4 linked regions of the Stegostoma tigrinum genome follow. Each later gene encodes a partner of the first gene's protein in a complex. Links are inferred from orthologs where the notes say so. Each region holds a gene or a part of one and is shown in the gene's direction. Other genes may lie near its edges.

Region 1 (7,775 bases):
CAAATGGTTATTAATTCACTCCTTCAAAGTTTTCTCCAATAGTTTCACTACCACCGATGTGAGACTCACCGACCTGTAATTTCCTGGTTCATCTCTAAAACCTTTCTTGAAAAGTGGAACCATATTAGCCATTCTCCATTCCTCTGGCACTTCCCCCATGGCCAGAGCTAACAGCAAAATGACATGAAGAACTCTCCTTAATTTCGGTACACTCAGACAGTGAAGGCCATCAGTCTAACTGGGACAAGGTAGCCATTAGTAGCCCAAGCCAAACATAGGCACGCACGGGAATTCTAGAGGCGTGGTTCTCCACCCATACTTCAATTAATAAACAAATAGAATTGGACTCCATATACAAACCCATACAGATCAAAACCAGAAATGACAACTCACCATAACAGACCAGACAGTATAAATTCTAAGTGGAGTAGAACAACATCACTTCATCGGAGACTCCACCAATGATGTCACCTAGCACGGTGATGAAATGTCTGAGCTACAGATCTTCACCAAAACTTTAAACAATTATGGGCGTAACATGCTAAAAATTGCCAGACAACGGGAAATCTTTACCAATCAACTGAGGTCTGCATGTGAACAACTTCACTTCCTCCACAAACATCTCAGGAACCAGGTACTGCCCCACAGCGTGAAATACAAACCTCCACTCAACAAACCACAGGATATAAAATAGCTGAATAGAATGGATGCAGAATGCTATGTGTAATGATTAATGATGCCCATAACCAACTCCAAAGGTACGAATGAGAAATTGTGCACCAAAAATCACAGTATCTAAACTCAATGGACCAACAATGGACTACACCTAGAACAGGCCATCACCATCAATCAACACAAAACCAAAACTAAGAATGGACACAAGCTGCAGGAGAAACTGACCAAACTGACTCCTCACAAAAAGGACAACAACAAACCAAATGCATGGAGAAGAAACCTATCTAACAGACAACTCACAGAAACGGAGAAAGCTGTCCTACTACGCGGACTGAACTATAACCACAAAAGATGCGAACAGAACAGGCTTCATGGCTGCCCTGGAGAATACATTAAAAGACAACAGCCTCAGGGAGGAAACACAACAAGCCCTGGGTGCTCTGGTGTAGTGGTCAGTACTCTGGTTTCTGAGCCCTGCGATCCAAGTTCAAGTCTGGGTGCAGCCTATTTCCTGCCCCGGTTAGGGTTCAGCCTCAGGCAGTCTCATTTTTGTCATTGCAAGTCCGAGAATTGAAGAGGGCTGATTTTGGGCGGCACGGTGGCTCAGTGGTTAGCACTGCAGCCTCACAGCATCAGGGACCTGGGTTCGATTCCTGCCTTGGGCGACTGTCTGTGTGGAGTTTGCACATTCTCCCCGTGTCTGCGTGGGTTTCCTCCGGGTGCTCCGATTTCCTCCCACAGTCCAAAGATGTGCAGGTTAGGTGGATCGGCCATGATAAATTGCCCGTAGTGTTCAGGGGTGTGTAGGTTATGGGGGGATGGGTCTGGGTGGGATGCTCCAAGGGGCAGTGTGGACTTGTTGGGCCAAAGAGCCTGTTTCCACACTGTAGGGAATCTAATCTAAAAAAGCCATCCGACAAACTATAAATCGCCACACTACACAGAAGGAACAAAGGGGACAACCTGAACACAACAGAGAGAAAAGCACTATATAAACTCAGGAAAGTCAAGAACATCATAATCCTAGCAGAGAAAGGATGCATGACCATTATCATGAACAACCAGAGATAATGGGAACTGCAGATGCTGAAGAATCCAAGATAACAAAGTGTGGAGCTGGATGAACACAGCAGGCCCAGCAGCATCTCAGGAAGATTCTGCTTGGCTTGCTGTGTTCATCCAGCTCTACACTTTGTTATCATAAACAACCAGACTACGTTAAGAATGCTAAGACACTGCTTGCAGATACAACCACTTACCAACAGGTGGCGATAGACCCAACACCACAGCTCAGTAATCGGATCAGCCAGGCACTGAAGCTACTAATGAATGCAGGGCAGATAACCAAGACAGACTTCATGAGAATGAAACCAGCAGGCACAAACACCCCCTCCCTCTTCTATGGACTCCCTAACGTACATAAACCAGACATCCCTCTCAGACCCACTGTTTCCTGACCAAGACACCTTCACATAAACTGGCCAAAAACCTACAACAGAGATTGAAACACTTAGTAGATAGATCACCTCATTCTATTCACACAACACAAGATGTCCTTGATACCCTCAAAAACATAAAAATCAGCGACTAGATTATGGTATCCTTTGGCGTCACAGCTTTATTCACATCAATTGACATCCCACTAGCCGAAGAAACAGCGCCCATATTACTAGAGGAAATAGCAACACAGACCAGTAGCTCCATCAACAAGGACAACATCATCTTCCAACACTTCTGCCATCTGCAATCCGACCCCACCACCAAAGACATTTTTCCCTCCCCACTCTTATCTACTTTCTGGAGGAACCACTCACTCCATGACTCCCTTGTCTGGTCTACACTCCCCTCCAGCCCCACTACACCCGGCACTTTTCCCTGCAACCACAGGAAGTGCTACACCTGCCCCTACCCTCCCCCCTCACCCCCATCCTAGGCCCCAAGGAAACCTTGCACATTAAGCAGATGTTCACCTGCACATTTGCCAATGTGGTATACTGCATCCGCTGTTCCAGATGTGGCCTCCTCTACATCGGGGAAACCAAGCGGAGGCTTGGGGACCGCTTTGAGGAACACCTATGCTCAGATCACAATAAACAACTGCACCTCCCAGTCGCGAACCATTTCAACAACCCTTCCCATTCCTTAGACGACATGTCCATCATGGGCCTCCTGCAGTGCCATAATGATGCCACCCGAAGGTTGCAGGAACAGCACCTCATATTTCACTTGGGAACTCCACAGCCCAATGGTATCAATGTGGACTTCACAAGCTTCAAAATCTCCCCTCCCCCTACCGCATCCCAACACCAGCCCAGCTTATCCCCGCCTCCCTAGCCTGTCCTGCCTCCCTCCTATCCATTCCTCCCACCTCAAGCCCCACCCCCACCTCCTACCTACTAGCCTCATCCCGCCCCCTTGACCTGTCCATCCTCCCTGGACTGACTTATCCTCTTCCTAATTCCCCACCTACACTCACCTTTACTGGCTCCTCCTCCACCTCTTTGACCTGTCTGTCTCCTCTCTACCTATCTCCTCCTTTATCCATCTTCTTTCCACCTCCCTCTCTCTCCCTATTTATTTCAGAATCCCCTTGCCCTTCCCCATTTCTGAAAAAGGGTCTAGGCCCGAAACGTCAGCCTTCCTGCTCCTCTGATGCCTGCTGCGTTCATCCAGCTCTACACCTTGTTATCTCAGATTCTCCAGCATCTGCAGTTCCTACTAACTCTAGCTAAGTGGAGGGTTGAGGTCATAACACATAATAGCAGAAGGAGGCCATTCAGCCCATCAAGTTGGCTCTGCCATTTGATGAGGACATGGCTGATCTGACAATCCTCATCTCCATTTTCCTGCCTTACTAATTAAACATCTACCTCTACTTAACAATCTAACTGTGAATAATTTCACAAGAGCAGTTCCATTGAATGTAAATTCCAACATCCGCTATGGCAGACTTTGAACCCACATCCCTACATTACCTGAGTTTCTGGATCCAAATTGATATCATTAGGCTATTGCCTCCCTCACTGGTTTCTCTTTTTCAATTTAAATATTTAAAGAAGTGCTTGTTCTTCATCTTTTGTTACTTGCATGTTTACCCTCAGTTTATCTTCTTCCTTCTTGCTATTTTTTGGTTTTCTTTTGATGATGTTTAAAACTTTCCCGATCCTCTGACTTAACATTAATCTTTACCAGATTGTATTTTTTTCTTTCATGGGGTAGTGGTAGCTGAGACTCATTGACTGGAAAGATATTCAAGCCTGAAATTCTGGTAATATTTAAGAAAGATACCCCTCATTAATGGTGTTGTAGGTCTACGTACAGCACATAGACTGCAGTGGTTCAAGAATGCACAGCACCACCAAGTTCTCAGCGGCGACTAGGGGCAGGCAATAAATGCTGACACAGCCAACGATGCCTACATCCTATGGATTTTTTTTAAAATTAGATGACTTAGGTCTGAATATATATGTCCTGAAGTGTAACTGAGCATTCAAGAGTGCACAAATTTGAGTTTAAGTTTAAACAATGAGTTTGGTTATGGCGAAAAGGCAGGAGATTGGCACTGAATTAAAATATTCAGAGAGCCAGTCAGACACAATGGCCGTCTTCTGCACAAAAACAATTCTCCTCCTCACCTACACACCTTTACTGGCTCCATCCCTGGCTCCTTGACTTGTCTGTCTCCTCCCCACCTACCTTCTCCTCTATCCATCTTCTATCCACCTCCCCCTCTCTCCCTATTTGTTTCAGAACCCTCTTCCCCTCCCCCATTTCTGAAGAAGGGTTTAGGCCCGAACTTCCGGCTCCTCTAACGCTGCTTGACCTGCTGTGTTCATCCACATTCACTCCGCATTATCTCGGATTCTCCAGCATCTGCAGTTCCTCCTATCTCAATCATTTAATTTCACTCCATTCTGTGAATAACAGAAGTCACAGAGGACAGTGTCGTTCCGAGCCACCAGGGGCCGCTGTGTGCAGTGCCGTCGAGGCCACTGGGGGCCGCTGTGTGCAATGCAGCTCTGAACCACTTGGGGCCGCTGTGGGTATTCCCACATGGAGCCACCAGGGGCTGCACGGGCTCCGCTTGCTGCTGATGTTGTATTGTTGTTAAGATGGCGGAGTCCGGGGAAGCGGGGAAGACGGCCCCGGTCTGTACTTTCCTCTTTAAAAAATCTAGCAGGAAATTTAAAGGAAGGAAGCGGAGGGCGAGCGCTAGTGACAAAGGTATTGACCTGGAGGGAGGAAGGGGCCGCATTCTCCGGCTGTGTCTCCGCTCGGGCTTAAAACGGAGCGCAGTTCTCACCAGGCGCCGTTTCATGCAGCTCGGAAACAGACCATTCAGCCCAACCAGTCCGTGCTGCCCGTAATCCCAAAGTAAACCAGTCCCACCTGCCTGTTCCTGGCACATATCCCTTCAAACATTTCCTGTTCATATACTTATCGAAATGTCTTTTGAACATTGTAATTGTCCCCACATCCTCAGGAGATTCATTCCACAAGCGAACCACTCTCTGTTTGTAAAGAAATTGTTTTTTTTAAAAAATCCTTCTCGTCTCACCTTTAAAAATGTGCCACCTGGTCCCGAAATCCCCCACCCTAGGGAGAAGACACCTGCCATTCACCTTATTTACGTCCCCTCGTGATTTTATAAAACCTCTATAAAGTCACCCCTGAATCTCCTACCCTCCAGGGGAAAGAGTCCCAGCCTTTCCAGGTTTCATCCTCAACAACAAATCGCACTGATTAAAGTGCATTCTAATGTGGTGATGCTAAATTCAACAAACCCGCTTGCTGTCCTGGGTTTATCTCCAAGCCCCTCAATGAGGAAGATTGATTTGACAAAAGATCTTTGACAGAGGTAAAGTAATTTGCATTTAAGTACCACCTTTCAAGACCACAGGCTTTTTTCCTTCAGCATCAAGGCTAATAAATTACTGGAATTCACTGTTGTAAAATCGGAAGCACTGAGGCTGGAGTCTGGGCGGGGGGGATGCATATGCACAGGAAAATCTCCACACACGGCATTTTGTAATAAACTGATAATAAACAGATCAACTGTTTCAGTAACATTAATTTAGCGAGGGGCCTATGTTGGTCAGGAATCCGGGGAGAATAACTTTGCTGTTCCTCTCATAGTGCAGAGGAACCTATTGTCTTTCCCTGAGAGCTTAGACACCTAGAATTTAATGTTTTGTCGGAAAGACAAAGTGACAAAGTTAATATTGGCCTTCTTTTGGAATCACAGTTTAATGTTGACTTACAGTGGCAGACATTCCAGTTTCTCTTGTTAAGGTTATATTTTAGTGCTCGTGAGAGTTTCGCCACTGCTTTAATTTAGTTTCTAGGTATTTACATCCAAGATGGTCAGAATCCTCTGTTACGAGCTTTTGCTCAGTGCAGACGATGCTGCTTTATCACAAGATGAAGGCAGCAACAGGAGAAATGGAATCTTCTCTGAGAATTGAGTGTGTGTCTTCCCTAGTGTTCAGCCAGCCGAAGGTCATTTTGTGTGTTGTGTGAAAATAGAAAGCACTGGAGAAACTCAACAAGTCTGGCAGCATCTGTGGAGAGAGAAACACTGTTAACTGTTCCAGTTCTGCGTGACGTGTTTGTAATGTGAAGAAGAATCATACTCACTTAAAAATTAATTATTTACCTCCCCAGACTGCTGAGTTTATCAAGTGCTGTTTATTTTTATTTCTGATCTCCAGCATCTACAGTATTTTGCTCCTATATAAATGTGTGCAAGCAAATTACAGAATATTTACCAGACTGATATCTGCAATTGGGGATGTTGGCTTATGTGGAAAAGTTTGACAGGATAACCTTTTGTTTCCTGGAGTTGAAATTAAGAGGCAACTTGATGGAAATGCACAAGATTGTAAGCACCTGAGGGATGTGGAAAAGATGTTTTCTCTTCTGGGAGAAACTGGAATTAAGAGCAACTATTTAAAAATGAGGTCTTGACCATTTAAAGGAGAGGTGAAGTGAAATTTGTTTTGAGGGTTGTGTGTGTTTGGAACTCTGTTGCCACACCTTTTCAGGAAGAATCTTCTGAATATTTTTAAGGCAAAATTAGATAATCTTTCCTGGTTTACCAAGAATCTATCAGGGTAGGTGAGAATGTGAACTTGTGGTTTTGATCTTTTTGAATGGCGAACCAAATTCAAGGGCCCACAGGCCTGCTGTTCCTTGTTCATATGTTAAAGTTGGAGACTTGCCATCATGTATTATGCAAGCAGGTGTAGATCATTCAGCCCCTTCAGTCCACATCACCACTCAGTAAGAACAAGGCTGATCTGGTGTGGCCGCACTCCAGTTTCTTGTTTGTCCCTTGTAGTTTAAGAATTTATCTGGTACAACCTTGAATGTATTCAATGACCCAGCCTCCACTGCGCACTGTAGAAGAAAGTTCCAAAGATTACTCCTCCTTTTCAAGAAGATATTTCTCCACTTCTCCATCTTAAATGGGAGACACTTCGTTTTTAAACTCTGCCCACTAGTTGTAAATTCTGCCACAGGGGGAAACATTTTCTTAGCCTCTTACTCTGCCAGGTGCCTTCAGAATCTTATACAGTTCAATAAGATCACCTCTTAGTGCTCAAACCTCCTCAGCCTTACCTCACAACAGAACTTCTTCATCCCAGGAATCAACTTAATGAACCTTCTCTGAACGTCTTTAAATGCAAGCACTTGACTCCCTAAGTAAGGAAACAAAACTGTGTACAGTCCTCTTGGTGTGATTTCATATCTGCATTCTGTACAGTTGAAGCAACACTTCCTCCTGTATCTGGAAGGGCACCGGATCCTTCCTTACAACAGTCTGCATTGTCCCTCCGATTTGGATAATCATCTGCTTTTCTACCCTTCTCACGAAGTGGGCATTTTTCCACAATATGCTCCATTTGCTACAGTTTGCTGTTCATTTAACCTACCTATATCCTTATACAGATTCTTTGTACCCACCTCACAATTCGCTTTCCTACCTGTCTTTGTATTATGAGCAAATTTAACTACAATACAGTTGTTCTCTGCATCCAAGTCCTTAAGTAGATTGTAAATAGTTGAAGGCTCAGCACCAATCCCTATTACACTCCACT
Region 2 (7,485 bases), on another chromosome or scaffold:
AGTTAAGTACATACAAGGCTGGGACAGGCAGACTGTCATTCAGTAAGCGAATCAAAAAGGCAGGAAAGTGGAGTTGAGGATTACCAGATAAGCCATTGAAAGGCCGAATAGACTCAAAGGGCCAAATGGCCTATATCCGATAGGATGACACTGTAAAGTCACAGAATTGTTGTGACATCAAAAGAATCCATTTTGGCCCATCATGCCTGCACCTGTTCCTCAAACAAACATCATTATCTGCTATAATAAAGTGTGAAGCTAGATGAACACAGCAGGCCAAGCAGCATCTCAGGAGCACAGGGATGCTGCTTGGCCTGATGTGTTCATCCAGCTCCACGCTTTATTATCTTGGATTCTCCAGCATCTGCAGTTCCCATTATCACGTCATTATCTGCTGCCTTTTTCCCATAGGCCCATACTATTTATATCCAAATAACCACCTGGTGCCCTTCATAGGGTCTGTGCAGACTCGATGGGCCAAATGGCTTCGATCTGCACTGTAGAGATTCTATGATTCTACACCGGCTTCTGCAGGACAGTGCCAATTTGACAAATACCCCAGGTGAGGTCTAATGGGTGCGTTTTCTCCATTCAATCATGGGATGTGGGTGTCACTCACCAGACAGTGTTGTTGGAACTGCACCCATCCAGCCAAGTGGGGAGTATTCCAGCATATTCCTGACTTGTACCTTGTAGCTGGTGGATAGACTTTAGGGAGATGAGTTATGGCTGCAGTGTTCCAAGTGTCTGCCCTGCCTTTGTAGACACTATGTTTATGTTGTGAGTCCAATTCAGTTTCTGGTCAATGATAACACCAGAATCTAAGGTTTTGGAGTAGATTTGTAGCTCGGGTTGTGGGTGTTGAGGTTGGTTGGCTCGCTGAGCTGGTTTGTTGTTCTGCAGATGTTTCGTTACCGTGCTGGGTAACATCCTCAGTGCAGCCTCTGATGAAGCATCAGTGTGTGTTTTCCCGCCTGGCTTTTAAACTCTGGGTTCCGTTGCGATGAACTGCCTCACTTCCGGGTTTCCTCCGCAGTAGAATGTATATGGGGTCAAGTTCAATGTGGAGTGCCATGGAGTGCCAGGCTTCCAGGAATTTTCGTGCTTGACTCTGCTGAACCTGTCCCAGCATCTTGGTGTTGTCCCAGTCAAAGATGGACAAGGAGAACCACGACTTTGACTCTCACAACTCTCTATAATTTCTTTCAGGCTTAGGCAGAGCAGTTGCCATACCAAGCTCTGCCGCTTCTGGTTGGGATGCATTCTATGGTACTTCTATAAAAATTGGTAAGAGTCATTGTGGACATGCTGAATTTCATTAGCCTTCTGAAGCAACAGAGGTGTTGGTCTGCTTGTTTGGCCAGCATCAACATGGATGGATGAGGATTGATCATTGGTGATATTTACTCTTAGAACTTGACCTTCTCGACCACCTCCACATCAACGCCATCGATACAGACAGTTGCCTGCCCTCCACTCTGCTTCCTGAAGTCGAAGACCAGCTCTTTCATTTTGCTGTTATTGGGGGAGAGATTGTGGTCTCCACACCATGCCACTAAACTGCCTATTTCCTTCCTGTACTCTGTCTCATTGTTGTGTGAGGTCCAACCCACTATAGAGGATTATTGTGGAGGGGTTGTCACCTATCCTCACTGATTGCAGTCTGCAGGTCAGGAAGTCAGGGATTCAGGTACAGAAGGGAGAGCAGACTCCTAGATCTTGGAGCTTGGAGATGAGTTTTGTTGGAATTATGGTATTGAAGGCATAGCTAAAGTCAATTAACAGGAGACTGATGTAGGTGTCTTTATTATCTAAATGCTCCAGGGCTGAATGTAGGGCCAGGGAGATGGTGTCTGCCATGGACCTTCTGTGACAGTCGGCAAACTGTTGTGAGCCAAGGCAATCTGGGAGGCTGAAGTTGATGTGAGCCATTACTAACTTCTCAAAGCACTTCATGATGATGGATGTCAGAATCAGTGCAGCAGTCATTAAAGCACATGACCTGATTCTTCTTTGGCACCAGGATGATGGTCATCTTCCTGAAGAAGGTGGGAACTCACATCATAGTAAGGAGAGGTTAAGACGTCTGCAAATAATCCCACCAGCTGGTCTGTGCAGGATCTCAGTTCACAATCAGGGACCCCATATGCACCAGTCATTTTCTGAGGGGGTAACTCTCAAGGACACAAAGAACAAAGAACAAAGAAACCGACAGCACAGGAACAGGCCCTTCGGCCCTCCAAGCCAGCGCTGATCAAGATCCTCTGTCTAAACCTGTCGTCTATTTTCTAAGGGTCTGTGTCCATTTGCTCCCTGCCCATCCATGTACCTGTCCAGATACATCTTAAAAGATGCTAACGTGTCTGCGTCTACCACCTCCGCTGGCAACACGTTCCAGGCACCCACCACCCTCTGTGTAAAGAACTTTCCACGCATATCTCCCTTAAACTTTCCTCCTCTCACTTTGAACTCATGACCCCTAGTAATTGAATCCCCCACTCTGGGAAAAAGCTGCTTGCTATCCACCCTGTCTATACCCCTCATGATTTTGTAGACCTCAATTAGGTCCCCCCTCAATCTCCATCTTTCTAATGAAAATAATCCTAACCTACTCAACCTCTCTTCATCGTTAGCACCCTCCATACCAGGCAACATCCTGGTGAACCACCTCTGCACCCTTTCCAAAGCATCCACATCCTTTTGGTAATGTGGCAACCAGAACTGTACACCGTACTCTAAATATGGCCAAACCAAAGTCTTATACAACTGTAACATGACCTGCCAACTCTTGTACTCAATACCCCGTCCGATGAAGGAAAGCATGCCATATGCCTTCTTGACCACCCTATTGACCTGCGTTGCCACCTTCAGGGAACAATGGACCTGAGCACCCAGATCTCTCTGTGCATCAATTTTCCCCAGGACTTTTCCATTTACTGTATAGTTCGCTCTTGAATTAGATCTTCCAAAACGCATCACCTCAAATTTGCCACTGATCTGACATCTGCAGTGGTGACTGTGAGTACAGGTGATCCCGAGATCGTCGGGACAGATGACATCATTTCACTAACCTGTTGTTTAAAATGAGCTCACTGGGGAGAAATGTATTGCTTTCAGAAATTGTACTCAACTTTGCTTTGTCGCCCCTTAAATCATGTAAGTCTTGCCAAATTCAACATGTGTTTCTGTGGTTAATCTGGGACCTCTGGTTTAGTTCGGGTGTTGTCTCTTGGCATCCTTGATGGCGTTTTGAAGATTTTATCTAGATCTAGTCAGATCACACCTGAATACTGTTCAGATCTTGTTTCATTTGAACACCGACTGCTTAGAAGTGAGGAGTTGTGAACAGTGCTGAACATTGTGCAATCATTCCCAGTTCTAACCTTATGATGGAGGTAAGGTCATTGATGAAGTGGCTGAAGATGGTTTGATTTTTATTGCAAACGAGTGGCAGTTCTTTATTGCACCAATGTAGGTACGCCTATTCATGATACTGATCAAGGGTGGCACAATGGTTGGCATTGCTGCTTCTCAGTACCAGGGACATCGCAGTGTTGAGTCTGCACATTCTCCCTATGTCTACGTAGGTTTCCTCCAGGTGGTCCGGTTTCGTCCCACAGTCCAAAGATGAGCAGGTTAGATAAATTGGCCTTGCTAAATTGTCCATAGTGTCCAGGGATGTTGAAGGCTAGATGGATTAGACATGGAAAATGCGTGTTTATAGGGATAGGGTAAGGGGATGGGTTTGGGCGGGGTGCTCTTAAGAGGGTCCGTGGTGACAGGACGTTGGATGCCTTCAAGGCAGAGATCGACAGATTCTTGATCTCACAAGGAATCAAGGGCTATGGGTAGAGTGCAGGAAAGTGGAGTTGAAATGCCCATCAGCCATGATTTCAATGGCGGAGTGGACTTGATGGGCCGAACGGCCTTACTTCCACTCCTATGTCTTATAGTCTTATGGACTCGATAGGCCGAATGGCCTCTTTCTGTACTTTATGGATTCTATAAAAATCACTAACTGAAATTTTATTTTATTTATTATTGTTACTCCATGTATCTGGCGATGGACCAAAATTAGTCGCTGCAATGCAATAAATTGAGAGTGCAATACCACATAGCAGCGGTCCTCCGATCTAGGGGGCACCTGGTGGTGCTAAAAGCATCAGTGGGGCCTCAAACCCGGCATCCAATGCGCCTGCGCGTCAATGTCTATCAATTTAATAACGCCGATTTGTTAAAGAACCGATTGTTTTATGTCAGAACCAAGCATACGATTGTCAGTATTTCTTCGGTAAGCGTTGTTTTTTTATTCCAAAAAATAACTGTAAAGGTCGCCTGGTAGGGGGCGGAGCTCCAACGCAGGCGATTGCGCAACATCGTGTAAACATTTTTAATAGCCCTAATTTACCAAGATTTCTCTTCACATGAGACAAAATCACAATTTCGTCCCGAACGGTTACTTTCATTTAATTGTACCTGCAGCTTCCCGGAAAGCCACGTGGCGGTAACCCTGGTAACGGCGGCCATGTTAGGTTTCCTCCGGCGGGCGGTTGACGGTTGGGATTCGAATCTTTTTTCAAGCGGAGAGCCGGAGCCGCGATGACGGACCGTTACAACATCCACAGCCAGTTGGAACATCTCCAGTCCAAGTACATCGGCACCGGGCACGCCGACACCACCAAGTGGGAGTGGCTCGTCAACCAGCACCGCGACTCGTACGCCTCGTACATGGGCCACTTCGACCTCCTCAACTACTTCGCCGTGGCCGAGAACGAGACCAAGGCCCGAGTCCGCTTCAACCTCATGGAGAAGATGCTACAGCCGTGTGGGCCCCCGCCCGACAAGCCCGAGGAGGCCTAAGAGGGCCTTGGGGGGGGGGGGGGGGGGGGGGTTGCTGGGGTGCGGTGTGGGCGAAGGGTGAGGATTAGATATGGAGATACGAGATGTGGGGTAGGGTTGTGGATAGGTGAAGGGGATTGGGGGGCATGGCTGTGGATAGGTGAAGGATGGGATGGGGTGGGAATGGGGATGGGAGGAGTATAGGTATGACTGGGTGAAGGGAGTGGAGTGTGGTATAAGTGTGGTTGGGTGAAGGGGATATAGTGGGAATTGGGAAGATACAAGTGAGTATGTGGGGAGGAATGAGGATTTGGGAGCTATAAGTATTGATGTCTGGTGGATTTTTGGGGTATAGATATGGTAATGAGTGTAATTAGGTGCAGGGACATGGGTGGAGGATAAGGAGGGAATATGGGGAGTGTGATTGCAATATGTGTGGAGGTATGTGGTGGATATTGTTGGAGGAAGAAGACCATGTATGGGGTATACAGTTGGAGGATAAGAAAGATACCATAAATGGGATGGTTACAGGTGTAGGCTGGGGGAGTGTGAGATGTTTAGAGGTTGGGCTGTGGCTGGACAGTTGGGTAACAGGAGGGATTTGGGTGAAGTAAGTGGCCTATTGGTGATTGAAGGGAGATATAGGTGAAGTACAAAAGAGACTTGGATGGTTGGATCAGAAGTGCATACCTGTGAAGGCTGGGTTATGAGGATGAGCTGTTCTATGGCTATTGAAGAGGAGTGATGAGAGTTTAGGGTACAAATGTTATTTGTGCTCCATTTTCCCTCCAAAACTTGGACTTGAATTTTGGCCCTCCCATTTGCCATCAGCACATCCAAAGTCGTTGTCAATGACTGAGGGATTGATCCAATCCGCTTCCAAAATGGCATCATTCCTGTACACAAATGAAAGCAAAATACTGTGGGATGCTGGAAATCTGAAACTAAAACTGAAAATGCTGGAGAAACTCAGCAGATCTGGCCATATTTAAGGGGAGAGAAACAGCTAATATTTTAAATCCAATATGACTTGAAGAACTGTACCTGGCCCCCTCTAAGTGGATCCACCTTTGCCTTCCCCAGCCAGTCAGGTCGTTTTTCAGCCACCCTCTTCCGCTCTACAATCAGCAAAGGAATCCACCACCCATCTTGCTCCAGCAGCAAGGGAGTCCACACTTCTCTTGGGGGCTCTGCCAGCACAAGGACATGCATTTGATTTAAACTTTTGTTATTCATCTGAAATATCATCTTGCTTTACAAAAGCAAATGACTTTTTTGTTGAACTGAACTACTTTATAGATAAAATGGTCACTGGCCACAAAAAGTCTACTGTAAAAATGGCCAGTCCATCTGACTTGCTCTCACAAGTGAAACTTTGTCACTGTCAACAGAAGGGAAATTTCACTGTTTCAAGATGTTCTGAACACCCATCCAGTGAATTACTTGTGATTTGCACTCACTTTGGCAACATAATCTTGAGCAACCGAGGAAAGGAATCTTACAAAGACTATCTGCTTTCTTCCCCAGTTAAATGGAATGGTCTCCATACACCTCCATCAGTGAGGAGCTCCCTGCTTGACTTCACCTAGGAGGTTGCTGCTGATATTGAAACCGAAGCCCACTACTGTCACATAGATCTTAAAGAAGGATTACAGAAGTACCCAATGTTCACACGGATGGTTGCTGCACGGAAAAACTCCCAAGAATGAATTGCATCGTAAATGGTATATGGGGTGCCGTACGGAGTAAAACTATATGAATCTACAGAGAGCGTTGATAACCTCTCCCCAACAACTGAACTATAGAAAAAGCCATTATGTTGGCAAGTGTTTGGATAAGTGGTTGTCAACAAAGTAGAAAGATTCCTTGAAACCCATGCATGATAAAAGCATGGCAGCTTTATATTTTTTATTTAAGGGGAATTTACTTAGAATGTTACTGATTTTAGAAGGATTGAAATTTTGGAAATAAAGAGAAACCCATCAAGTGATTTTCCTAAAACTTGGTGATTTATTGGATAATGTTCCAGGGGATTTTTGCGAGTGAATGGAGTAATGTTTTAGCAGCGATTGTTCAGCAAAATCAGAAACCTGCTCAACCATGACTAGGTCACTTAGAAAATGTCTCATTATTCAGAAGGGAAGGTTTTGTACCTTTTTTGTGTTGCCAGTTTATTCCTGTTCTGTTTTTGCTGGGCAGTACAAACTGTAATTCGTAAACAATTTGGTTTAAACTGGAGAAACAAAATATTTTGCTTTAAATGTATACCATTACACTGATCTGTGGCTCAATAAATGGACAGTTTTTTTTAATACTTTAGTTGTTTTGATTTTTTGTTCCTCTGAAATGTGAGATAACTAGGTAAATAGATGGTCACGGTCAAAGAGCACCGAATTTACAGAACACAATCTTTTGTCCTTATTGTGTATGTTTTAAATATGTATATGGATTAGAAGCAGAAATAAGCCATTTGGCCCTTCAAAATGTGCTCTGCTGTTCAAAAAATCATGGTTGAGCTGTTCCATTCTTGCACACATTCATTTACATTCTCAATATCCCAATTACCTTAGCCTTCTTGCCGAACATAAATCTAAAATGCCTTAAAAACATTCAATAGCCCTAACCTACTTCACCTTCTGAGGCAGA
Region 3 (7,265 bases), on another chromosome or scaffold:
CAAGTTGTAAAGTGCCTAAGTGGAAAATGAGGTGTTGTTTCTTCACCTTGTGTTGAACTTTGCTGGAATGCTACAGCAGGCCTAGGATGGAAATGGGAACAAGATAGTTCATTGAAATGGCAAACAACTGAAATGTCTGGGTCATTCTTATAGACAGAGTGGAGCTGATCTGTAAAGTGGTTCCCCATTCTGCATTTTGTCTCGCTAATTTAGAGGAGGCCACATGGTGAGAAGTGACGACAGTAGACTAGTATGAAAGAAATATGAGTGAAATGATATGTCACCTAGAAAATGTGTTTGGGATCTTAGGGAGTGTAAGACTGTAAGGAGAGGAGAGGTATCAAGGCAAGAAGCACCTCATGGAAAGGTGCCCTGCGGGGAGGATGGTGTGTAAGGAGTCTCTGAGTAGTGAACCAGAGTTCACAGAGGGAACAGTCCATGCGGAACACTGAAGTGTGGGGAGGGGAAGAAGAATTTGTTGGTGGCATCCTTCTAGATGTGGTGGAAATGGCAGAGAATTTCCTCAGTGTGGAGACTGGTGGTGTGCAAAGTGACAACATGGGGAATCTTTTTGTCTGTGAGAGAAGCAAAGTGGTGAGGGCAAAAGGACAGCAAATGGGTAACACACATCTGAAGGCCCTGTCAACCATGTTGTGGGGCAATTCTCGACTGAGAAAAAAATGAGAAAAGTTTGGAGACACATCAGTGGAAGATGGCTTTATTGAAACAGATGCTGCGGAGATGGAGAAACTGAGAGAATAGAATGGAATCCTTGAAGGAAACAGGGTGTGAAACTGTAGTCAAAGTAACTATGGGATGAGGTGGGTTTATCGTGGATATTGGTGGACAGCTTGTCTCCAGAAATAGAAACCCCGTGAAGTCAAAGAAGGGAAATGGAGAGTCAGAGTTAGACCAGGTGAAGGTGAGAGGAGGACAAAAGTTGGAAGCAAAACGGGTTAAGTTTCCAATTCTTAATGAGTGCAGGAAGCAGTCCTGATGACATTATCAATGTACTAGAGAAAGAACTGTGGAAGGGAGATTGAGTGGGACAGGAGCAAGGAATGTTCAGCATATCCTACAAAGAGACAGACAGAGAACTTATTTATTTGGAGTAAATAGTAATTCCTGGTAGGTTCAGAAACGGATCCATATTTTATGTTAACCTGAGTCTGTCAGACAGGTAAATTTGGGACTTTGTGTACTTTGATAAAATTGTCAACTTTTGTGATGACTCTAGAAATAGCAAGCCATGATTTGTAGCATGTGTCCCAGTGTGGTGTGACATGTATAAAACACAGTCTCTTGGATAAAGCATCAGTTATTCCTTTGCTGCATCATATTTCTTTGGTCTAGCATCAATGTTCTTTTCTCCTGCTATGCTTCTGTGAACATTTTTCTACATTAAAGGTTCTGTGTGAACACAGTATGTTGTTACCAGAAGGTAATTTATAGAGGCACAGAGCACAAAAACAGGCCCTTCAGCCCAATCCTCCATGCTGACCAAGTTTCCTATATTGAGCTAGTCCCATTTGCTTGCATTTGGCCCATATGACCCTAAAACGTTTCTATCCATGTATCTGTCCAAATGTCTTACATTCCATATACACAACTCCCACTGTATGAAAAAGTTGTTCCTCAGGTCCCTTTTAAATCTCTACCGCTCTCATCTTAAACCTTTGCTCTCTAATTTTGGACTTCCCTACCCTAAGGGAAAAGACCTTGGCTATTCACCTTATCTGTGCCCCTCATGATTTTAAAAATCTTTATAAAAGACCTCTCAGCCCCCTTTGGTTCAGGGAAAGATATCCCAGTCTATCCAAGCCACTGAAATTGCAGACTGCTTGAGAATCTGCGAATCAACTGAAAAGGCTATTTTATCCAGGGGTGCTTCACTACATTCGATCAACATTTATAATTACAATATATATTTTGTGCCATACATATAGCCCTGAGAGATTTTCAGCATCTTAGTTTATAGTAGAGTCAAAGAATTGTACAGGTGTACATAGAGCTGGATCCAACTCATCTATGCTGACCAGATATCCTAAATTAATCTAGTCCCATTTGCCTGTATTTGCCATATCCATCTGACTCCTTCCTATTCATATATCCATCCAGATGCCTTTTAAAAGTCATAATTGTACCAGCTTCCACAAGTTCCTGTGGCAGCTCATTCCATACATGCTCCACCCTCTGCATGAAAAAGTTGCCCAATAGGTCTCTATCTATGCCCCTTATGATTTTTATAAATTTCTATAAGGTCACCCCTCAGCCTCCAACGCCCGAATGAAAATAGCCCCAGTCTACTCCCCCTCTAGCTCAAACCTTGCAACTCTGGCAACATCCTTGTAATTCTTTTCTGAACCCTTTCAAGTTTCACAACATTCTTCCTATGGCAGGGAGACCAGAACTGCACACAGCATTCCAAAAGTGGCCTAACCAATGTGCTGTACAGCTGCAACATGACCTCCCAACTCCTGTACTGAATGCGCTGAACAATAAAGGCAAGCATACCAATGTCATCTTTACTATCCTGTCAACATGTGAATCTACTTTCAAGGAGCAGTGAACTTACACTCCAAGGTATCTTTGTTCAGCAACAATCCCCAGGACCTTACCATTAAGTGTATAAGTCCTGTCCTGATTTGCCTTTCCAAAATGCAGCACCTCATATTTATCAAAATTAAACTCCATCTGGCACTCCTTGGCCCATCTGATCAGGGTCCTATTGTACTCTGAGGTAACCTTGGTTGTCCAATTTTGGTGTCACCTGCAAACTTATTGAACATACCTCCTACGTTCACATCTAAATCATTTATATAAATGACAAAGGACAGTGGACCCAGTACTAATCCTTATGGCACACTGTTTGTCACAGGCCTCCGGTCTGAAAAGTAACCTTCTACCACCACTCTCGATCTCCTACCTTCGAGCCAGTTCTGTATCCAAATCGCAAGTTCTCCTGTATTCCACATGATCTAACCTTGCTAACCAGTCTAACTGGGGGAATGAGAAACTTTTAGGCAGAAACTTTCGCCCTTTCAGTCTTTCGTATATTTCTGTTTGCTGTCCTGAACCTGAGTGTTCAGTTTACAACAGTGACCAAATTTCCTGGATTTTTTTGGACTATTCAATTTTGGACCAGATTGTCCCTTGTCCCGGATTGGCTGTTTTCAGAACAGTCCTTATTCCGCATTTTTCATCATAGAATCCAGGTAGTGCAGGAGCAGGCCATTCAGCCCATCAAGTCCACACTGACCCTCTGAATAGCATCCCACTCAGACATATCCCATCCCAGTAACTCTGCATTTCCCATGGTCAATCCACCTAACCTGCACATCTTTGGACTGTGCGAGTAAACCGGAACATCTGGGGGAAACCCATGCAGTCACAGAATGTCCAAACTTCAAACAGATAGTTACCCAAGGGTGAAATCAAACCCTGATCCCTGGTGCAGTGAGGCAGCTTTGCTAACCACTGAGCTACTGTGCTGCCTAATTGTTGCAGATGTGGATAATGCACCTCCCACTGGCTCATCAACATCCCCCAGCCCAGTTGGACAGTCACCTGTACCAAAATTTCCCTTCTTCCTAACCCGAGTTGGTCACCCTGTTAGGTGCATAGAAATTATAGGCTAAAGTAGGCCATTTGTCCCCTCAAGCCTGCTCTGCCATTCAAATAATATCATGCCTCACCTGATTGCGGCCTCACCTCCACTGCTGTGCCTAACCACCCCTAAATAAACTTTGACTTGTCAGCTAAGAATCTAACTCTGCCTCAAAAATATTCGGTAATCCCACGTCCACCATTCCCTGCCAAGAGATTGCCAAAGACATCCGACCCTCTGACAAGAGAAATAAACTCTCTTCATCTCTAACTTGAAATACGAGTCCGCTAATTTTTAAACTGTATCCCCCTAGTTCTAAGATAACGAAATGTGAAGCTGGATGAACACAGCAGGCCAAGTTCTAGTCTAGTTGCAACCCTGAGACCATTAGCGCCCAATGGGTTTGAGAAATCAGCAGGAGCACTGGAGACAGGCAAGAACAAATAAAAATAATAATAACAAGAAAACATCAGCAAGCATCTCTGGAGCAGTGTGTATTGAGAGAGGTGATGCAGCGATTCATGAATCTAATATTAGGAGGGAATCATTCTGCAGTTGCCTGTCCAAGGTTGGAGCCAAGAGCCTTGGCTGGCTGATCTCTCACCTCTGCTACGTGACCCCGGAAGTGTTCTATTCGCTGGCCGGCAGTGTTGTTCCGGGTCGGTGCCACAGCCGGGAAGATGGAGGCTCAGGGCCGCCGCCGGGCCTGGCACAGCCCCGAGCCTGGGCCCGCGACCGACCGCCACCGATTGAGGATCAAGCGAGAGGGGGCAGTTGGCCCCAAGCACCGGCCCTCGAGTTCGGGCTCCTCCGGGGGCAGCGTCTCTCCACCTGAGCACTGGCAGAGCCGCTCCCCGGCCCGGAGGAAGCCGGCACCCGAACAACAACAACATTCACGGCCCGGGGGCAAGTTGAAGCGGGTGAGTTACCGAGTCAAGCCGGTAATAATAATAAAACACAAATCATTACTGCAGCAACCGTTCCCTCGCATGACAGGAACTGCAGCCCCAATTCAGCCACATCATAACTGAGGAAGAGGATTTAACTTTCACGTCAATCTCACTCTAGTGTCATTGCTAAAGAGAGTGTGTGAGTGAAAATTCAGTTCCTCGGTGAGCGCAGGAAGGAGGGGAATTTGGTGCAATGAAGAGGCAGGTGAAGTATTATTAAAAAGTTCCATTAAAGTGCATGAGGAATTGTTAATAGCAGCAGAAGGGACCTGAATGAGAGAACACAAGTTTAAAGGTGTTTGGCGAAGACACCAATACAAATTTCCTTTCATCCAGAGTGAGATCTTATACGCCGAAAAGCGCTGCCTGACAGGGTAGCAGAAGCAGATTTGATTTTCACTTTTTGGAAGGAAACTGAATGATTCAAAAGAGACATGAGTTGCAGCACTGTGACTGGTGAATGGGACTGATTGGATAGCCCTCTGAAGGTGCTATCTGGCTGAATGGCCTCCTTAGTTGTGATTAAATTTGATTCTAGATTCCTGTTTTAGTGGTTAAAAGTTAAAATGATCACCCTGGATGTGAATTGTGTTCTGTTGTGAAGCCACAAGGTTTAATGTGATAGTTAAATACAATAGTTTATAGTTAGCTTTCCAGTTCATGTATTTCACGGATAAGTTAATTTGGCAACACAGCACAGTAGTTAGCCTTGCTGCCTCCCTGTGCCAGTGATCCAAGTTTGATTCCAACCTTGTGTAGAGCTTGCACATTCTCCCCATGCCTGTGTGGGTTTCTGCCTGGCCCTCTGGTTTCCTCCTACAGTCCAAGTGTGCAGGTTAGAAGGATTAGCCATGCTAATTTGCCCCACCTGTTGAAGGATGGTTAGGCTAGATGGCTTGGTCATGGTCATCGTGAGATTATGGTGATAGGATGGGGGGGTGGATCTGGTGCATCTCTGACTCTTCGGAATGTTGGTGCAGACTCGGGCTGAATTGTCTCTATCTGCACTGTGTGGATTTTATAATTCTATGATGAAATAATAATCTCCGCTAGTTACCATGTGAAGTTTTTATACCAATTGTCTCATAATTTCAGGCCATGCCATGGCATGCAAAATTTAATTTTTCTCATTCCGTTCAGGAACGGCATGACCATTCTCAACGGGATCATGCTGAGAGACGACACAGAGACCACTCTAGTAGAAATGGGCATCGGCGCAAGAAGAACAGTGACCGAGAGCGTCACAGAGAATGTTCAGACCGGGGCCGAGGCCACAACAAAAGGAATGGTAGCTCTCACACAGAAGGTGGTACAAGTGGCCGAGACAGGGAGGCTCAGCTCCTCAGCACTCAGCAGGCCGAGCGAGAGTACTACAATGAGAGAAGGCGTCAAAACCGCAATCAGTGTCCCCTGCTCAGTGATGAGCATCCTGCCTCTGAGTCAAATAACAGCCAAGCTCATAGTGGCAACACAGCCCCGGTGAAAGAGGAGCCAAATTTTGAGCTTTCTGGTGCCCTCGTGGAAGACACAAACACCTTTCGTGGAGTGGTGATAAAATACTGTGAACCGCCCGAGTCCCGGATCCCAAGGAAACGATGGCGGCTTTATCCGTTCAAGAATGATGAGCCTCTTCCAGTTATGCACATTCATCGTCAGAGTGCCTATCTCTTGGGCCGACAGCGGAGGGTCGTGGATATCCCAATTGACCATCCTTCCTGCTCCAAGCAACATGCAGTGCTACAATACAGGTTGGTGTTTAAAAAGCTATTAATGTAAGCCTGTGGGGAGTGGACCTAACTGGATTGCTGTGCAGGGTCCAGTATGGACATGTTGGTTGAATGGTTCCCTGTGCTCCCTTAAATGACAACTTTGCATTGTTCTGACATCGGTTAGTCTGATGCTGATCCCATTGGATTTCCTGGTTGCCACCCTTCTCCTGTAGGATTGGTTTTCTTTTATTTGCTGTCCAGGTTTCTCTCTCCCAATTTCTATTATAGGAAGTAGACTGCAAAATGATTTTTATTTCCTCGATGTTCAGCAGTCTTCCCCGGAAAGGCAGTTTGTTAATATTAAATAACTACTTTAAGAAAAAAAAACTAAACAAACATCCCATTAAGAAATGAGCTTGTGGTCACAGTGATAGATTCCTCACTGAGCAGTACCTGTAAAGGGTTTGATGTTTCCTGGGACAGGGAAAGTGTCTCGGGCAAGCAGCTGCCAAAATCTAATTTATATCCTGGAGCTAAAGAAAGACCTTATGTTCCCAAGTCACCTTTCCTGGTCTTGGGTCATTGCATATAATTTTATAACCAGTCGAGCAATTTTGAAACATAGTCACTGTTGTATTTTAATAAACGCGACTGCAGTTCTTGTAGATTTAACAAGTACAGTTTTAGGGGTGGAGCAGTAAATGGGAAGCAGGCAATATTTATGGAAATGTTTGTCTTAGGGCATTAAATATGTTGAAATACTTTATAAGTGAGTGGATTTTATAGACTGATACTTTTGTGTTTGATAGGCCATAGCTTTTGTCCTATTCCACAGTCCGGTCCAAAAGTGTTTCGGCTGTCTGTTACCCTTTTCTCTCTCTGAATCCCGTTTTGAAAGTATTGCCAACACCCTTTGGTACTTCGAGGGAAGTACTTAGGTGTAATATTAAAATTAGTGCGTGCATTGATCATCTGATTTTATTTTTCTGGATTGAACAA
Region 4 (7,332 bases), on another chromosome or scaffold:
TGTCTAAGAAATTGATGTTTGTGTATTACAGCTTTGAGTTTAATAGATGGTTGATTGGGTAGATTTATGAATTCTTCTAAGAATGCTTCAATGTGTATCTAAATATGCAAATTTCAACATATATATACATAGAAGGAATCGTTACTACATGACTGCATCACTTAATAAATGAGTTAGCGAGAATGAAAAATATTCTCTGTAAACAAAATGTAATCTCTGAAAGTCAAAATGTAGCCCTTAAAAAAGGATATGAAAGGAAAAGTTCATGTTGGTGTGGGGCCTAGAAACAGAAGCAGGACCAGGATTTCTCTTTCTAGCCCTGCTGTTGAGCCCATTTGCTATGCATTAGTATGACTGCAGAATAGTTTGGGATGAGCTCACGTTTGGAGAGAGTGGTCAGTGGGTGGCTGGCCAGAAGAGCACTGGAGTAGGATGTAATAAAGGTATGGTGAGTGTTTTAGCTGTAGGGGTTTGAAGGCAGGGACACGTGGTGAAGTTAAAGTGGTGAGAATAGCTGGTTTTGTGTTAGAAAGGATAAAGGTGGAGGTTCACGTGCATCCAGTAGATCATAGAGGTTTGATACAATCTCTTTCAGCCTGAAAGAGTGGTCTGGAGTGAATTGAAATTGAAAATGGTGGAATAGAGGTTATGTTAAAGGCTGAAAACAATGACTTCAGTCTTAGTGGTGTTTTCTACAATGAATCAAAACTCATTTGAAACTGCATGTTATACAGACATTATGACAACATAGAGGAGGTGGAGGGTTTGACAGAATTGGTAGAGATGCAGAATTAGGGGTCATTCATGTTTACTTAGAACCTGATGGTTTGTCTTTGAGTGATGCTACTGAAGGACAGCATATGGATGAGAATTAGATGCTGAAACCAAAAGATACCCAGGGAGTCTGAAGTAACAGCCTCCTCCTTTTATTTTCATTATGTAGTTCCTGAAGAACCATCAGGATTGCACATTACAGGAGGACTTGAGATTAAACTTTGACTCGCTGTAAATGCACTCCTAGTTAAAGAAATATGGATGGGGATATATGGTAAAGGCAATTGAAACACTATATAACTAACAGCATAAGAGAATTTTGTTTACAAAAACGTTCCAGTGACACACTATTCTAAATACTTAGCTTTCTCAACATTTGGTGAGGCAATAAATTAAAATTGATTGGAACACAGGAATAAATGGACTGCTATAGTTTTGATTGTAAGCAGCACTTGAAGAGAAGGTAACTGAAAACATAAGGGGAGGAAACCTCTTTGATCTATAGTATAATGCTGACTGTATTAGTTTCACTCTTGTAGAAGAGCTAAGATAAAATGCATCTATAAAGCATCTCTGGTGACCTCAAGATGTCCCAAACAGTGAGACAAATAACCAGATAACTATTTCCTTGACATTGGTTAAGGGTGAAGTTGTTTCCTACATTGTTGAGGCAGCAACTTTTACTGCTCTTGGTAGATGCAGTACAATCTGTCTGAAAACTCAGAGCATTTGTTTTCTTTTGCAGCAAATCAATAGGGAACGGAAACCATCTTCAGTCTGATTCCCAGCTGTTATGAATGATCTTCTCAATTTGTTCGTTGCTTGAAGAAAGAATGCATGCCTTTTACTGATCAATAAAGATATTTTACAGGAAATATTAGACTGATTATGTTCTTTTTATTGGTATTTCAAAAGAAAGGAAGAGGTGGCAGTTTTGATCAAAGACACTGTTTAGCACTGAAAAGGGATGATATACTTGATGCGCCAATGATTGAATAAATACTTGAATAAAATTGCTATGATTTTGGGAAAGAATGTGATTGTGGCATTACTTCGATAATTCTTTCAAAAGAGCTGACAAACATGTAATGAGCTCATTAGCCTCCTTTATGATTACATTTTGCACTCTAAGTAGCTGAAGCAACAAAATTAAAAATGATAAATGTTAAACCACGATGTAAATAATGTGAGAGCTCTTGAAATTCTGCTAGGTAATAAATTAGAAAAGTACTCTTGATTTAATCTTGACTTAAAGTCGATCTGCCATTCCTCCTCCATGCTGATTGAGCCTTGAAAGGCTAATTTTCTTTGAGAACCATTCCCTGCCCTTTCTCCACAACCAGCAGAGCCTAATTTCTTGCCAGTCTCTGAAGTCTTACACCCATGAGTTTGTGTACTTTATGATCATATATCATCACTAAGATGAAACATTTGAATATTTGTTGCATTAACCTTGCATTAAAGGTAAAAGTTGCTGTGCTCCTGGGCAGAAACAACTAGTGGAGGGTCACCACATCTCAGGTGTGGGGAGAGGTTGGGAAGAAGAATATTTCATAGTAGCCTCAGCTATTGTGGTAATTGAAACGCATCGCCAGGTCACAGACCAGCCAACAGAGCAAAACCAAGCCCTTGGCCTTGGATAATGAGAGTGATGTTTCAGTAGCTCAGGCACAATAAGTGCAATTGGAAACTGAAATAAGTCCTTGAATTGATATAGACTGGATATTGGAAAGTAGGATTGTCTTTGGAGTCTATCATTAACAGAGAGGAACATTCAGGAAGCACTAACATTAGGATTCTCCACGAAATAGAGAATAACAAAATAGGGTTGACGCTAGAAATGGGATAGAAATACATATAAAGTATAATATGGAAGCAGACTTTTAGGCTCACACTCTCTATGTTGGCAGTTACCATCAATTCAAGCAAGCAAACATGTTTTGGTCAGCTCTAGCACAGGAGGTTAATGGGTCAGGTCCAACTGTTGGGGGGTCAGGTCTGCTGCAGTAGCAGATGGGAAGGAAGTGAGTCAGGAGGTAGGTGGTGTGTTTGTGTGGGTCCAGTTTCAGAGCATGAGGGGGTTGTTGTGGCATGGGGCTCAGATTTTGTCCGGTCTGGCAGAAAGGAAGGGAGAGCATGTCAGCTGACAGGTGATGAGGTGTCAGGTCAGGTCTCTGGTGCAGGAAGGAGGTCAGGTTTGGATCTGAAGAAAAGCGTACAGGTCCTGGGGCAGGTGACAGGTGTAAGATGTCTGGTAAAAGTGCCTTCAGAGATGTGTACGTAAGAAAGGGGTCTGTTAAATGGTTACTCGGAAGTTAAAACTGAGTCAGGTCCAGCAGGAGTTGAGATATTTCAGGTGGGCTAGAGGTCAGGCCCAGGTTGTGTCAAGAGAATATAGGGTCAGGTCCATCAGGGTTGGGTCACAGGGTGGAGCCAGAGCTGTTAAGAGTTGGACCGGTTCAGGACGGGATGTAGAGTTGGGTCTGGTTCCCATGGAGCTGTCGAGTCTGGCAGAGAGTGGGGTGTGGTTGCATTGTGTGACATGGGTGTGTTAGACCTAGTGGCATTCAGTAGTTGGGGTAGATGCTGTGCTGGGGTGGGGGTGTGAGGTATGCCAGGGGTTGCAGTGTTGTTGTTGTGGGGCTAAGTTTAATAGTCAGGCTTTAACATGGGTTTTTAATCTACCATTTCCTGAGTGAATATTAAGCTTAAATGAGCTCTCACAAGTCTGGAAGATTTTTTTTGACATTTCCAAGGGGAGACAATTATTCCTGGGAAATTCAACTTCCCAGACAATTCAGAGGCCGCTGCACTGATCATACTGTATGGTCTCCGTGCAAGTCCCGTTTGCTTTGCTCTCTTAACTATCTGACCATTGTTTGGAGTGGGGGGGGGGGGTAGAGTTGGGGGTGGGAGAAATTGTTAATATTTTAAAGTCTAACTGTTCAGCATTTATGACACAAATCTGGAGCAAGTAGGATTGAAATAAAACTTACTGGAGAAACTCAGCAGGTCGGGGCAGATCAAACGGCGGAGCAGACTCACGCCGAATTTTGCTCCTGTATCTTACCTTATAACAGCATCTGTGGAGAGAAAGCAGACTTAATGTTTCGAGTACAGTGGCCATTTTTCAGGAGTCAGAGATTTGAACTCTAGCCTTCTAGTCGAGAGGTGGGGACACTATCCCTGGCCCACTGGAACCTTCAGAATAATGTATCTGCTATAGTATCATATTGTGGCATGCTGCAAGTCCTGTTAAGAACTCATTTGAAAATAGGTACAGCCGAAAGCCTGCAGCACTGTTGATACGGTGATAACAAGATGTGGAGCTGGAGGAATAGCACGCCAGGCAGCATCAGAGAACCAGGAAAGCTGACGTTTCGGGTTTGGACCCTTCTGAAGAAACTGCTTACCCTGCCGTGTTCCCCCAGCTCCGCACCTTGTCATCTCAGACTCCAGCGTCGGCAATTCCTACTCTCCGTGGCTGTTGATACGGTGTACGGCCGCACGGAGTAAGTGGCGCTGTCGCTGGCGGACAGACAATCGCATGACAGGGCTTCTCTTTGTTATCCGTCCGTCTCCGGTTGGGAAGTGAAGGCTGCTGTTGCGATTGGGGAGACCGGTCACTCAGGAGGGCGGCGGTTTCTGCTTGGGATCTGGAGCCCGCTTTTTAAAAAGCGGTTCGAGTTGCAGCTATGGTGGAGGTGGGCGTCTTTGGGTTATGTTCAGGATTCAGTAGGAGGGAGTGTGGATGTGTCACTGTTCTCGGGCTGTCGGCCTTTGAGCCGCCAGTTGCTGGGTCTGAGCGTTCCGGCCTGGCCGCCTACCCCGCACAATAAAGCAAGGAAGAGGGTGGACCCCTCTCCAGGTGCCGAAGGAAATAGAAAAGGATGATGTTGGGGAAGCTTTTCCTGTTTGAAGGAAAGGAAGTTGACGTGATCTACAAAGTTCCCATTTTATAGTAAAAGTAAAATGCATGCTGGTTAAGTACAGTATAACTTGCTTACCGTCCCTTACTAGCTGGCATTTGTTCATTCAAAAACAATAAAGGAATAAAGATGCAGTGACCTCTTATCTTGCATGCCTTTCTAAATTATTCAGCTTTTGGCTTTAATCAGTTGTATAATTACGGAAAGTTTGCTGTTGCGATTTCTTTTCTCCCCCTCCCCATTTATCTGTTTCTCGTTGCAAATTAGAATTCGTCTCAATGAGTCTTGTTTTGTACGCCCGTGTATATGTGATAAAACTTAAACATTCCAACCTATCTTTGTTAATATAGAGGAACGCGTGGACTGTCAATGAAGTGTTTAGAATTTATAGAGATGAAACGGAGTAGCTGGTAACTTTGCATATTTGAGATGTGCGGAATGATGGAGAGTGGAAGATATGACTTACAGGAGGCTTATAAAATTATGTAATACAGTATTCAATAAAGTAGGCACCATAAATGTTAATTAGGAATGGGCACTTGTGAGAAAGTGTCAAAGTCATGTAGGAAAATACATTAGAATAGAAATTAGGGTGCACAATCAGAACTGCTCATTTTATGGAAGGGCATCTATATGAGATGAATTTCCTGTTCCTGTGTAATTTCTAATTTTCTCACTCCATGACTATTCAAATGTGTAATCCTGAGATAAACTGTCAAAATTCTGGAAAATTTATGCTACTAGCCTACTATGTAAATTTTTCATTATGAGGGAGACTTTCCATTGGTACCATTTCCAATTAACTTTTCTGATCTTGCTGCAGTATGTTTGAAACTTAAGTTGTGAATTCCATCAATTTGTTAATTGGTGTTTTATTATTGAACAACTTTAATATACCCATGTAATAATTAGGGATAACAACCTTTTAGTGAACAAGTTGACAGAAGACTTGGTATAAATATAGCTATAAATTATATGCTTGATAAGAAATGTGTAGTCATTACCACAAAACACGAGGTGGTGACATGAAATGAGCATTGAATTTTAGTTTCCTTCACAGAAGATATATACGTTAAAGCTTAAAAGTTTAGAAACTTTTCAAACAAAGTTACAATTATTTTAGACAACATATGAAGTGGAATAAAGTTTTAGGTCTTCAGTTGACCTGCATTGTACACTGTTACTCATCTGCAGTCTACTGTCATGAGAGAACTTGAAAGTGCTGAATATTCAAAATAAAGCAACAGCTATTTAAAATAGAGATGAGGAGGTTTTATCTCTAGGGGTTTGTGACTCTTTCGAATATTCTACTGAGGAGCACTCTGGATTCAAAATCATTGACTGTATTCAGGGTGGAGATACAGTCTTGAACTACAGAATGGTGGGGTCAAGAGTTATGGGAAATGAGATGAGCCCAGATCAGAGCAGCCATAATCTTATTGAATGGTGTAGCAGGCTCAAGAGGCGATAAGGCCTTCTCCTACTTCTGGTGTTCTTATGAGCTGCAATGTGTTTTGTTTCTGTGCTTTAATTGTATGTAGTGCTTGTTAAAGTCAAGAAAGTCAGTGGTGGGGAATGAATTTCAATTGCCCTAGAACACTCCAGTGATAGTACTGAGCATTTTCAGGTTAGCTACAGGATGATCAGGAGAAGAATAAAGCTATTTTTGACACTACTCCAGCATGCTTAACTTTAACAACAGAATCCCAGAAAGTGAGAATGTAATGGTTTGATGGTGTCTGGTCTCCAGGATGACTGCCATTCTCACCAATTGTGGATACCAATTTCCTCTGTGAAACATTTTCAAGGGCAGGTGGAAGTGTTTTGTGATTTGGGCCTACTGTCACTAGAAACTGCCCTGCACGTGTCATATGGCGATTCATGTGTTTTATTCTGTTTCCAAGAGTAAATGTCATTGTGCTGACATACTGTTTCACTTGGCCCTATGAAAACATTTCTTGAAGTGCCTTGCAGGATATCTTCTAAGGTTACATGGCATGTTGAAATGTGGAAATATAGAAAGGATCAGTGTATTTTGTTTAGCAATTCCACCTACTATGTCATTGTTTAGTTCAATTTAATTATTTGATTAGTTGTTACAGAATTGGAAGTTCATACATAATTCAAAATTGTTTTTTTTCTTTTTGGCAGGAGGTGCAGAAACATTCTGTACACACACTGGTGTTCAGATCCCTGAAAAGAACCCACGACATGTTTGTTAGCGATCATGCTAAACCTATTGCAGTAGATGAGAAAAGGTGAGTGCTTTAGTTGAGCTTGCCTCGTAATAGTTGGTTACAGAATGAGTATCTCATCAGATACAATGCAAGGGGCCCAGCTTCATTACAGCCAGTGTCAAAGCCTCAAGTGTTTTATGTCTGGCATATAATACTTCCAAATACTTCAACCTGTGTTATTTCCCATTGCCATATTTTCATCTTGTCTGCTGAGACCACTTCTTATTTGTAATAACTTGTTTATTCTTACTATGACCCTGCACAGCTTTCACTCTGTTGTCCAAATCCACACGACTCCCCAGGATCAGCAATATCGTCTGCAGGCATCCCATCAACTTACATACATGTGGCATCCATACTCTGCTGTATTGTCATGCCACTTCTCTGTATTC

What was found.
Region 2: rnf113a (region 1) and sf3b5 share a complex: the UniProt entries of both Homo sapiens proteins name them as parts of the minor spliceosome. The link is inferred for Stegostoma tigrinum from reciprocal best matches to the Homo sapiens genes RNF113A and SF3B5.
Region 3: rnf113a (region 1) and snip1 share a complex: the UniProt entries of both Homo sapiens proteins name them as parts of the minor spliceosome. The link is inferred for Stegostoma tigrinum from reciprocal best matches to the Homo sapiens genes RNF113A and SNIP1.
Region 4: rnf113a (region 1) and plrg1 share a complex: the UniProt entries of both Homo sapiens proteins name them as parts of the minor spliceosome. The link is inferred for Stegostoma tigrinum from reciprocal best matches to the Homo sapiens genes RNF113A and PLRG1.

What each region holds. Positions count from the first base shown.
Region 1 is NC_081384.1:39,857,382-39,865,156, forward strand, and holds the start of rnf113a (E3 ubiquitin-protein ligase RNF113A), read left to right. Parts: upstream 1-4,753; 5' UTR 4,754-4,787; coding exon 4,788-4,899; intron 4,900-7,775. UniProt on the Homo sapiens protein: Required for pre-mRNA splicing as component of the spliceosome. As a component of the minor spliceosome, involved in the splicing of U12-type introns in pre-mRNAs. E3 ubiquitin-protein ligase that catalyzes the transfer of ubiquitin onto target proteins.
Region 2 is NC_081362.1:94,717,919-94,725,403, forward strand, and holds sf3b5 (splicing factor 3B subunit 5), read left to right. Parts: upstream 1-4,482; 5' UTR 4,483-4,599; coding exon 4,600-4,860; 3' UTR 4,861-7,151; downstream 7,152-7,485. UniProt on the Homo sapiens protein: Component of the 17S U2 SnRNP complex of the spliceosome, a large ribonucleoprotein complex that removes introns from transcribed pre-mRNAs.
Region 3 is NC_081377.1:12,589,309-12,596,573, reverse strand, and holds the start of snip1 (smad nuclear-interacting protein 1), read left to right. Parts: upstream 1-4,256; 5' UTR 4,257-4,287; coding exon 4,288-4,527; intron 4,528-5,697; coding exon 5,698-6,305; intron 6,306-7,265. UniProt on the Homo sapiens protein: Required for pre-mRNA splicing as component of the spliceosome. As a component of the minor spliceosome, involved in the splicing of U12-type introns in pre-mRNAs. Down-regulates NF-kappa-B signaling by competing with RELA for CREBBP/EP300 binding.
Region 4 is NC_081354.1:53,942,231-53,949,562, reverse strand, and holds the start of plrg1 (pleiotropic regulator 1), read left to right. Parts: upstream 1-4,332; 5' UTR 4,333-4,469; coding exon 4,470-4,478; intron 4,479-6,854; coding exon 6,855-6,961; intron 6,962-7,332. UniProt on the Homo sapiens protein: Involved in pre-mRNA splicing as component of the spliceosome. Component of the PRP19-CDC5L complex that forms an integral part of the spliceosome and is required for activating pre-mRNA splicing.